2 linked regions of the Drosophila melanogaster genome follow. The protein of the gene in region 1 interacts with the protein of each later gene in a pairwise test. Each region holds a gene or a part of one and is shown on either strand. Other genes may lie near its edges.

Region 1 (7,551 bases):
ATATGCTCACGCATCTGCTCCAAAGATGCTTGTACAGATTCGTAGGTGGGCTTTCCCCAGCTCTGAGGCTTGGTTACTAGGTAGTAAATGTACCGCTGGTCATCCTTCAGCACCGCAATATCTCCACTGCCCGCTTGTTGGGCTTGCAGCTCGTCCAACCTTCCGAATACCTTCTTGAACTGCACGGCAATTCCAGCACCCATCGCAAGATCTGCGCCCACACAGTGCGCCAAGGAATAGGTCTTGGGGGCGGAAAACAGATCCCCATCCACTTCGCTTAGGGTGTACTGAGGTTTGGATGACATTCCGACTACAAAAGCTCGCCGAAATGCGCTACGTAGTTCTAGAAGTTTGGGAGAATACATTTAGTTTAAATAAGGGTTTTAGATCTGTCTGACTTAGTGTAACAGGCAGCTACTAGATTAATTTTTGGTCATACGATAACACTAGATAATGGTTCGTAAGGGTATATATATGTATTTATCAAAACTCCAATCTTTGGTTAATATCCTCTCGAGGACGTGTTTTATTTATTAATACATTAAATACAGTATAAATAACCAAATATGGAAACTTTGTGTGCTATAAAAACCTCTTAGGTGTATCGTTCTTATCAACTATATAAGTATTTGGTGCATATGATGCCACAAGTCCCAAGCAAAACCATTTCGAGTGTCAAACAAAGATGGCTATATACATTAAAAGGGAGTCTTTTCGCGATGAAGCGAATTTCTTGATCCACTAACGGACCTCGATGGCAAATGGATGGTCTTCATGTGCCGGCAGGTGGGACAAACCACGTTCAACGTGTCCTTAACCATTTGTGGCGGTGTGTAGAAGAATGCAATTATGTCCACGCTATCCTCGGCGAAAACCAGATCCAGCAGACTCCGCACGCGCAACCAATCCAAACGGTCGATGCCGCATCCAAGTCTGGGAATGGCCAACTTGGTCACTCCGTGCTCCCTCTGAAAGAGAGAATATAGCAAGCATATTTAGTATCCAGTATCTTGCTCTAATACAGTTTGGTGAACCTGATCCTAACTATAATGTTTCACCTTTCTCTTTATTTTAGTAATGCAGTTTTGGTCTGTAAGCCCTTAAAAATACAATTCCTTACCATATGTTCCCGCATGGCCAGCAATGCGTAGTAGAGAGCTGCGTAAGTGCACTTTTCGTGGCTGCGCTCCTTGGTCACCAGGTTGTAGATATGTCTACCATCCTGCTCCAGAACTGCCACATTTCCGGTATGCTTGTGTTGGCGCTTCAGCTCATCCACTTGTCCGAATTTGCAGCGGAACTGCAGATTTATGCCCGCACACATAGCGAAGTCCGCACTGACAGAGTGCACTAAGGCGTAGTTTTCCGGGGCGCTGAACAGGTTCCCCCTGGCCTCCGTAATCTGACACTTGGGAGCAGCCAGCTGTGGATTATCTGAGTATTAACCCACTGTTCTTTGTTAATAAGCCATGTTGGATGGCTCACCTCCTTGGACATGTCTTCGTGCTCACAGATGAGTATCTCGATGGGATACTCGCTCTGGGAGAAGGTCTGCTGCACCAGACGCTTCACGTGCTTCCATTCAAGTCCATCGTTGCCGCAGCAGATTCGGGGCATAGCCACTTTGGTGATCTCATGGTTGCGCTGCAGAGACACTACAGTGAGAATTGCCCAATGCACTATTTTCAAAACCTCGGACTTGATGACAATTTGGTTCTGAGGGCTTCACATAATTTGACGGACAGGCGGACGAGGCCCGATTGATTCGGCTAGTCATTCTGATCAACAATATATGTACGTATTGCTTATAGGGTCAGAAACATAACATTGGGTATAAAAAGAAGCTGACTTTACTTTCTCTTCGCTCAATTATCATTCAACCCAATGATAATATTTTATAAAGAAAAATCGACGCTAAGATGGGAAGATCCATTTGTCCGATTGCTACTGTGTCCCAAAGTCCACATAAATTAACTGCATGCCCATTTCATGAAATCGTTTTTTGACTAAACATGAGACACAAGCGAAATTCTTTTGGATGACAAAAGGGGCGAACTGTTTTTAGATACTCACTGTATCGCAATGTACAAATGAATTAACTGTAAATTGACGAGGGCAGCACCAAAGAAACCAGTTTCCCAAGCGTCGAATTGTGTTTACTCTTTGGGGAAATGTCACTTGTTTGCCGGGAAACCCCCACTCCACCACCAAGACGACGGCTAAAAAGCACTCACCATATGCTCCCGCATGCAGATCAAAGCTGCCTGGACATCGCCGTAAGTGCTGGCCTCGTAGAGACTCGACTTGGTCACCAGATAGTATATGAATCGGGCATTGTGCTCCAGAACGGCACAGTTGCCTCTGGAAACACTTCTTTGCCGTAGTTCATCCACATCCCCGTAGATCAGGGCAAACTGCCAGGCGAGAGTTCCCCGTTCCGCCGTAAAGGATGACTCTACGGCATGGGCCAAGGAATGTGTCTGCGGTGCGTGGAATATGTCCAGCTTGGACTCCACTATCTTCACGTTCGCCATGGCGCACTAGCTCTCTACAGAGTATTATATATCCAACTGCAATTAAGCTGAAATTATTCTGATTACCAGCCGAAACAGAAGCTCTCAATGCCAAAAATGATTTTCGTACTTACGTGCACGCAGCGCTGGAAACTTTCACGTCGAGGTCAAAACTCGCGATAAAAACTTTTTCGACTTCGGAATGGTTTTGACTGTGTGTTTTTGGGTTCTGCACAGAAACCTGCACAAAACCAGAATGAAAACAAAGCTATTAACGGATTCTGAACAGCAAGCGGCTAGTTGGTAGCTTGTTTATTTTGGCGATTCGCCGATTTCCCACTCCCAATTTACAATGCCGTTTGGAGGTTACTATTTAATCGACTGCCTCGGCCGGCGGTCTGCAGCGGAATGCGCCATCGGAGCTCGATGTGGATGTGGGCATGGGTATGGTGGTATGGGTTATGGGTTATGGGTGAAGCGACGTGCCGGGCGAAAGCCCAGCGAGAATCTTCGAGCCTCAGTGACAACATTTCGCCCAGAGGCGCCGCCGCGGGGCTCCAAATGTTAATGATTGCACTGTAAAAAACACATCGTTTTCCACTTAATACTATACGACTTGAGTTATTATTTTATTTTATATATGATTATTAATCTATTGTGTTTATCGTGGTGTTAGAAAATTCATTTTGTCATTTGTTTGCGGAGTAAATTGCCAAGCACAGATGGATTTGGGTTTTCAAAATGGATCATGTTTTCAGACCTAGAAAGTTAAAGCGGGCGAAAGTTACTGAACTCGTTTTGAATCTTTTTTTGAAATTTTATTTTTAAATCACAAGTATGCTGTTTTTAAGCTAAATTAAAAAAAAAATGCACTAATCATATATAACCATTTCTAGTTTTTTGAAAGATGTACTTCCTAATTTTTAAAAGTTACCTGATCAAGTACTGAGAATACCGAAAATGTACTGAAATTGCATATTGGTCATTTTTTTTTTTAATTTAACTGAACTTTTTGGGAGAAAAATCCACCAGCAGGCATGACAATCCACTGAATCATAACGACGATAGTGATGATGATTGGTGGCGATGATGATGACATACATGTGCTAGCAAGTGTGAGTTGATACCGCGTAGTTTGTTTGTTTGTTTGTTTTCAGCGACAAGTTGACTTGGCATTGCCCGAAATCGTCAAAGCCGCTGTAACAGCCAATTAAGAACTTGTGCAGGCTTTTGATAGCGTTTTATAGATTAATAACGACGGATCGTTCCGATCGAAGCACCTGTATGTGAATGTGTACCTGTGCGTGGGCCGCTGTCAAAGGTAATCGGCGCTCAAGCGCTAAATAGGGATTGTATACCGACTAAAGTGCATGTATAAATATACATATGACTTAAATTATTCGTTAATTAAATGGCAGGTGAAATAAAATATACCAACACAAACAACGAACAAATAACCATATAAAGTGACAACTTGTATTCTAAAACAAACAAAACAGGCAGCAGAGCGGCAGCAGCTTTTCGATTTAGTATGAGGTAAAAACTTAAGATTTTTGTCGATTGTAGACTCGGATGACGAAAAAATATTTTATTTACTAGTTAATATAGGAAAAACTTAGTAGAAAATAGAAATGCTAAAAGAATTCAGTGATATCCATTTTTAACTATCAATTGATCATGTATTATAAATAAAACGAGAATGTTGCTTCACATTTGCTTTTCAAAACAAACGTCGAAGAAAAAGCATCACTTGCAACTCATTTTATAAATTTTTATATAAACTGACAATTTTTTTGGTTTTTAATTAAAAATATGTTTGTGTCGTAGACTATAAAAACAAATTTATGATTTATATTGCCCTATGACTATATCATAGAGTATATTCTTTTTATGCTACACAAACGGATATTCCAATTGGAATGACTAGACGCCCAATTGCGTGGGTGGTTGTCTCGGCTAATGTCTTCTACTTCATCCTAGACCGCCACCATTTATTTTCAGCTTTTCGCCAAAAAATAGCATCAAAAACAAACCAATTGCTTATGCTTTTCCTTAAATATCCTAACAATAGCACTGATTTTTAAAGTAGTTAAATGAATATTTTTGTAAATCATAACACTTTGCCTCCATATAGCTTTACACATTTACGCATGTCAAGCCGCAGCTTTGAACGAATTGTTGCATTGAAATTTAGACTTCGCTTTTCCTCTCGATGGGGCACCTTGTGAGGAAAAGCGATAGCTGCGAACGATGCCGCCAGTTCACGGCAGTTCAGCTTGTCGCCTCGAACAATAAAGACGACCGATCCGGGAGCCATAATATATATATAATATAGCTTTATAGCACGGCACTGTTTGGATTTTGGCGTGCCAATTGGCGCTAGTTGCTGCCGTTGCTGTTGTTGTTGTTGCTTTGTTTGTTGTGCTAATTACGTAAATTGCGTGTTTATTTGTTTGTTAATTTAAATACTTTACGTAGTAGTGAATTTGTTAGTTGACGACCCGCCAGGTTCGTTTTTTTTCTGGGCAATTAATCTGCGCGCGAGTAAATCTCCCGGAGAAAACAAGAGAAGCGTTGTGAGTCACTTGAGAATTAGAGAATAACTAAAAAGTGCAAGCGAAAAAAGCAAAGCTCACACTCGTCACGCCAGCTCAGCTGATTCTGATTGGGATTCTTACTACTCTCTCTCTCTCTCTCTGTCTCTCTTCATTACGATACGTAATATACGTATACGTATTTGTATACCCCTCTCTCTCACACACTCTTCTATTCTGTTTTGGTTACCTTTTTGTGGGTTACGTTACCTTATTTGCCGATATGACTGCTTTGACATTGCTACGACGATCAGTTACGGCGGTCAGCTACGACGGTTACGCCCACGTTTGCGTTACGAATTGGCGGTTTCTGCCCCAGCTTCAAAGGTGCCAATTGCATTTGCACGTTAGTGGGCGACATGCTGCTGTACTTTTGTCCAGCAAAACAACAGCAACAACAGCAACATCAGCTGTTGCAGCTGCGCAGGCGCCAAATGCGTATGCTAATGTTGGCGGTAAGTTCATAAGCTTAATTTATGCAAACAGCGCGTGCACTCGGTGATTTATGATGCTGCAGCAGATTCATGCATCGAAATCGTTAAATAAAAACCGAATGAGAGATATGCGCGCCTAACGAAAAGGGAGATATAACGATACCTTAGATTCAAACTTTCAAGAGATCTTAGGCAAAAAAATGTACCGGTTACAACCGATTCGATTCAATAAACTACATCACTGATATCATCACCTCTCATAATTGTAACTCGATGAATGGTTTAATTTAGAAATAAACAAAAAAAATTAAAAATCTGTTGTAAGTGAAAATCTAAAGTCTTCCATCAATCGTAAACAATATATATAAATAATAATAAATATGTAACTAACTAAATATGTAACTAACTAGTTGCTGGCATTATTAAGCCACAGAAAAATAAAGGTCAAAGGTCTATCTTCCGAGAATAAGTTTATAAGTTTACTCCATATCAACTACTGAAGTTATTCGTAAATACGTTTGAATTTAAGCGCATACCAACTGCAGTATTATATTTTTGTTTGCTTTTTTTTGTTCAGTTTCTCTTATTACATATTTTATCTGGTATTCGCAAACATCACAATCCTTTATCCTTTGTTAACCCAGCAAAGCCCCAAAAATAATATTTATGTTCTGGCAGACAAGTGGGTATTTTATTATGAAATGGGGGACTGTCCTTTAATGTACGATAAAAATATAAATAAAAACGAAATGGGACTGGGATTGGAGGCGTGTTCGTCTCCGCCTGCCTTGCATTTATTACTAATCACAATTTAATAGCCCCATTGAAAGCTCATTAAGCACTCACTCTTCCTTTTTATTGCAGAAAGTGAAACAGAATTTAATAACCGGTTCCACTTCAATTGCCATTTTATCAACATAACACCCGCTCCAGAAGCGCGGATCGATCATTTTTCTGCCATTACTCAAAAAAGGTGTTAATGAGCGCACCGAATCGGTCATAAAACTTGTTTCACCAAATCCAACACTTGTTGGTTATGTACTCGTTTACTCTAGATTAATTAGGGTCTGTTCCTCAAAGCTCTTTAAATGTACTTCGGGACATATATAGGCTATAACCGATAAGATAAGTGGACAGAAATCCTATAAGAACTGATATAAGATTAAATAATTAGCAGATGGAGTGCTGGGTATTTTTTTATTATTCAGCAAATGAACCAAGTCGTGTTTGATCCATTTAAAGCGAAAATGAGCCAGGTTTGGTTTGAAAATAAACTTTGTTATATTCTAGATTTCAGGTTCAAGTATTAATATGTTATCGTGTTCAAACTCTTTATCGAATTTTATCTGGTTAATAATCAATTGAGTACAACAACTATAGCTATAGTAATATGTACTAACGTGCTGTACTCAAGAATTCATTCTTTTCCATGCAGTATTTTCATGTGGTTGCCCATTTCAATTTTTTCTGAGTGGTGTGACTGGGTTTCGATAAGATAAAGCTCGTAAAGCCATCAACTTAATTGGGGTTTCAGCTGGTATGTATGTGTGCCATGTGCCCATCTTTCACATTCACTTTCGTTGTGTAAGGTCAACAAAGTTATGTGGATTAAATAGAGATACGCCCATTCACGTCGCCCTCCCCATCCTCTTTATATTTTCCTAACCACCCACCCACCAAGTAAATGAACTCAAATTGAAATGCCCTAGACCGTCGCTTCTATTCCAACTCTATCGCTTGCCATTTAACACATCAATTTCAAAGTACAGAAATAATTTCGACAAGTTCAAGGTCATTACCAGGCACACAGATACTCGGCCCACACATCCAAGCGCAAATAACTTGAAATACTCGCACACAAATAATAAATAAGCTAGTGAATAAATAATGTGTGCATATAGACCGCGAGCCCCCTATAATAGAAAAAATAGAGAGACAGCACCGACAAAAATATCAAAAATAAAACATAAACACGTTACACGCGCCGGACTTTTTTGAGAGATGGCGATT
Region 2 (4,906 bases), on another chromosome or scaffold:
ACATGCATTTGGTGTTCAGCCTCGTATTCCTTATATACGATCTCGTCGGCTGAAATGGCAGGTTCCGGCAGTTGGAGCTGTGCTGTAATGGTGGGCGTGGCCCCCTCTGCATAGTCGGAGGGCGGTTGCTTCCTCTCCTGCTCCCGACTGTGGCCACTCCCCGTCGCCACATGCACTCCCTGTTCCACAGCTACATCCTCCGACACTTTTGGTTTTGGGTCCGTCGTTGTGGTTGGGTGTATGTTGGCAGTGGTTTTGCTTGTGGCTGTTATGGGCTTCTCCTCCGGTTTGAGGGAGTTCGAATCCGATCCTCCGCCGTCGCCTCCTTCTCTTCGCTGCTTGCGGTTGTTGTTGCTGCTGTCCACGCTGTTGTTGTTGTGAGTGCTGTTGTTGTTGTTGCTGCTGCCGCTTGTGCAGCGAATGTGATTGTTGTTGCTGTGCCCATGTGCATGGCCATTGACGACCTCCCCAAGCGGCCGAGCCTCCTGCTCCTTGTGACCATGGCCATTGCAAAGGTGCATCTTTTTAAGCAGGCCTCTGAGTTCCTGCGCTGGCTCCTGGTCTTCCGTCGCCTCCTCCTCTTGGTGCTGAACGTGTCCATTGCTGGGTGTCTGTGCCTCCACCTGGCCACTGGAATTTGGATTGTGATTGGGGTTCTTCTCCGCTGAGTTCTTTTTGTTCTTGTACTTCTTCTTTCCGGCCGCCGCTGCCTGGGCATCCGCCATTCTGAAAAGCGACGGAATTGGCTCTAAGAGGGAACCTGCTGCTCCTCCGGGGCTTATCTGGGAGGACTGGTAATCCTCGCCTGCAACCGTGTGCCTCGGACTTATTTTTGGTTATATTTTCACAGTTGATGGTTTTTCATTCACACGCACACGCACACGCTCACGCACATACTCACACACTCGCGCACGCACACATGGGGCAGTCGGCCGTCCTCTTTGTTGTGCTTCCGATATTCGGAGTTCCGGATCGATCAATCCGATCTCGATTTGTGGCGCTAGTGCGTGTGCATGGCAAACTTATGTAAAATCCTATATCCGCAAAACTCGTAATTTTCCTTGCTATGAATAAATCCCACCCACACATATGCGCGAACAGCTGTAACAGCAATCGATTGGCACTCGATACTATCGATACAATCATCGCCGGCCAACTGTGACTATCGGCTATCGAATTATCAATTGATATTATTACTATTAAATTAACAGCTAAGATTAATGAAAATATTTAAAAATTATATTAAATAAAATCTAAAACTACGTTGATTTTATCAAATTTATATTTGGCATGCACCTTACATCGCAAATGTTCATATATTTGATATTTGATTAGATTTGATCTTTGTAATATTATTACAATCTTTAAACGTAATATTCTCATACCTATATTCTTTATAGCTGCCATTTAATTTCTGACTTTGGAATGTTAACTTATTTGTATTTGCAATACTTTTGCCAAATTAGATCGTCAGCTTGTGCCTTTTTGCGAGGGTGTGCTGTACATAACGGAAAAGAGGATCAATAATAAGAAGAAGAAGCTGCTCATTTCAAAGTTCTCTTCTTGTTCTTCCTTTTCTTCTTAAAGAAGAAGCAACTATTTTACGGCGTAAAGATTTTTGATTTACGGGACTTTTGTTTGAAAAAAGTGCTGCAAATCAGTTTGAAGTGTTAGTTATAATTAAGTGCATGTCGTGGCAATGAGTAGCATCGAAATGTTACCCGAAAACGGATGGAAGTCCAATAAATTGCTCGAAACGTATGTTCACTTACACTCGCCATTTAAAAGTATACGTGTGTGTGTTTGTGTGTACGTGCGTGTTTTCTCCTGCGCTTATTTTTTTGTCTCTTTTGTTTTGTGATTTCCAAACTATTAAAAACGTTCTTCAATTGGTAAGTTACTAGTTAAATTCAGTTGTACTAATTAATAACTCTGCAGTGCGACCTTCGCCTACTTTTGGTTTCCTTTTCGCGCCATTAGCATTCGCCATAAAATAAAATCCATAAATTACAGCTAAATCAAATGCAATAAAACCAAATTACAATCTCGAATCATATAAGTCACATAAGTCACTAATCCGCAGTTTCCTGAGATCTGCACTTCCTCCACTTTCCTTGCCGTTTGTCTTGGTTGAGAACGCAGGATTATTCGGAACTTGCAAAGGTTTCGAGTCAAATGAAAATATAACCCCTGATTTTACAATGTATGTACATATGTATGTGGTAACTGCCAGGAGAAATCCGCCTGCCGTTTGCTGTCAATTTTGTGGATTTTTAACGACGGCAATCAGTCGACTGTTTTAGCGTTATAGCCCGTCGCTTTGATGGGGACTCCAGCTCCTCCCAACGTCATAATCGAAAGACTTGGGTAACGAACGAACTCGGCATGGCCGATGTCGTTGCCTCTCAGTTGGGCTGGCTGCCCCCAGAACTGGGACTACATCAGCACTAGCTGGTGACGAAATCGGCTGGGGAGGCCAGGCGGTCTCGATCTTCGATCTGCTTTCGGACCAGCATAGCCTACTTTGCATACGGAATTGGACTTGAATTTGATTGACTGAAATTGAATAATCCGAGCCACGCGATTGGATAATTTCTTGAAATTTTGCATACGAACTTGCAAGCGCAAGTTGGCGTCCGTTTTTCTGGACGTCTGTTTCACTTTTCGCTGTTGCTGCAGTGACGCGGGCAAATCCAAAATTAGCAAAGCAAACAACATACGGAGAAAGTGAATGGCCGAATAAAGTAAAAGCAGTGGCGGAGAAAGGGTAACGAAGAAAGGGGAGAGAGCGGGAGCGGACAGGTGCCGCAGCCAACGCCTTATCACCTTGCTGGCGGAGATCTCTAAAAGATAGAGATACAATTTAGCACTTAGCACCCACGTGACGAAATGATATATGCAGTTTGGCCACAATGGCATGGACTTCTTGTTTTAAACTATATTTTTTGTGTCGGTTGATCATGGTAACTGGCGGCTCCCCAGCCAACGGACATAGCATTGTCAGTTGGTTCGTCAGTGAAGTTGGTTCTATAAGTCAAGAGCTACGTATGCTAAGGCCACCTAAGGGTATTAGGGTATTTGGCCTGCGACCTGGGTATTTGACCAATTTTATTTTGCACATCCACGGCGCATTAAAGCAATTCACTTTTTGCGCGATGCTCCATAGCTCCATAGTTCCATAGCTCCAAGCCGAGCCCCACTCCATTCTCCCGAGCATTTGGCCGTGTCATGTCAAGAGTTATGGGCTTCGTAATTTTTCTGAGTTTTCGTTTATATATTTTTGGTTGTTTTAGTTCGGTTTCCTTTGGGGCTTTGTTGTTTGCCGTGTCGCAATGCTGCGAGTGTGCGCAAATGGCAAAGTCAAAGCGCATGCGCTCCAAATGTGAAGCACCTGGCCAAACCCTACCCCTAGTTCCACCTATGTACCTTACCCATCCCAAAACAACTTAAGTGAAGCATAAGGCATGCGGCTCGAGCTGAGCTAAGCAAACTAAAACCGCAGACGAATGTGTCGCGTCAGCGTTAAATTGTGTCAAATGTTGTCACACACAAAAAAGCAGCCTCAGCCTCCCTTTTTTGCGGCGAGGCGGTAAACACCGTTGTGTGCAAATGGCAAATGTTACAAATAACCAAAAATCGTTTTAATTATTTCGAGCAAAACGTGCCAAGCGCAAAATGAGCCCAACGTTTGTGGCCTGTGTGTGGCCCTATTGAGAAACTAGGTTTAACTGCGTCTTTAAATTTGTAGCAGTAATCGTAAGATAAGACAGAACTCTCATGTTTTGCAAACCCAATGGATTTTCCCGGCCGGTCCACTTGAAGTCCGGAGGGATCAGAGCGATCGAGTGGCAGCGATGGGAAGCACTGGAGCCCGAGTTCATTGAGGCCCATCGACGGTCTTCGATCGTTGAACGGCTATATACAGACCATGGCTGGCCGCGCTCCTTGTGCGTGAGTTTTATTATGCAAGCGGAGCGGAGCAGAGCAGAGACCACATGGTAATAAAAACCAAACCAATATTAGTCCGCTACATTGCGGGGCGCAGCAGCAGAAAGCCAGAGAAAACCGAACCAATCGAATTTGTCAATGGGGGAAAGAAGCTGGCCGAAGTGAAATGCCCGTGCGCTAGCAGAAACCCGTCTGCATCCACGGCAGAGTGCTGTTTACCTGTTCACCTTCCCTGGCCAGAGCCATGCTCCGTCTTATCATCGTTCGCAGTGTACTTGGTCAAGGCAAGCCAGCCACTTTTAACCGGCGATCAACCGATTTGATGGGAGCTGGGCGATCAGCGGTTACCACGACCGGCCTCGCGTCGCGATCGTAATCCCTCCCAAAAATGTCTTCTAAGCCAAATCGATTTTTAATTGAGACTTCGGCGCCAGAGCGCTGCACCCTGCGTTGCCCAGGGCAGTACTTAAAGAACCAGCCAACTAGCAATCTGCTATCGCTATGTCATGCCAATCATTCGAGATGAGGCCTCGTTATTATTAGGTGCTAAAATCGTTCAATCTGCAGCAAAATAGTTTAACTCAATGCAAGCTTGAGCCGTATGGTTACTATTTCAAATGTTATTGCAGTACATATAACAGTCTAGTATAGTACGAGTGTCGGCACATGACGTGCATTAACATGCCTTTTTAAATTGCTTTGTGTTAAGTGTGTTTTTACAATGAACCAATTTATGTAATGGCTCCAAGCGAGCCTAATAGATGGTATCGTATATGTGAGGCCAGCAAGTTGGAGCACCGAATCTAGGCTACGAAATGTAAGTTTATGCCATGCATTTCAAATGGGATTAAATGGATGCATCTAATCAAAGCACTCAGCATCCAGTGTTTTCTAGCCCCGACTTCTAAAGAGCCAGATCGCCGCAGCAAAAGCGGTAGTAGCAGCATAAGCCGCAGCA

Evidence for each region.
Region 2: the proteins of Targ2 (region 1) and CG11409 interact in a two-hybrid assay, tested with the Drosophila melanogaster proteins (one large-scale study listed by BioGRID).

The regions. Positions count from the first base shown.
Region 1 is NT_037436.4:21,197,761-21,205,311, forward strand, and holds Targ2 (terminal ADP-ribose protein glycohydrolase 2), read right to left. Parts: upstream 5,331-7,551; 5' UTR 5,318-5,330; exon of another isoform or gene 5,160-5,317; intron 5,123-5,159; exon of another isoform or gene 4,988-5,122; intron 2,929-4,987; exon of another isoform or gene 2,755-2,928; 5' UTR 2,535-2,754; coding exon 2,235-2,534; intron 1,645-2,234; coding exon 1,486-1,644; intron 1,424-1,485; coding exon 1,121-1,423; intron 969-1,120; coding exon 699-968; 3' UTR 501-698; downstream 1-500. Other genes in the region: Targ1 (terminal ADP-ribose protein glycohydrolase 1), read right to left, coding at 1-365; CG10512 (uncharacterized protein), read left to right, coding at 5,331-5,562.
Region 2 is NC_004354.4:1,338,311-1,343,216, reverse strand, and holds the start of CG11409 (uncharacterized protein), read left to right. Parts: upstream 1-1,629; 5' UTR 1,630-1,892; intron 1,893-4,906. Other genes in the region: Naa30A (N(alpha)-acetyltransferase 30 A), read right to left, coding at 3-725.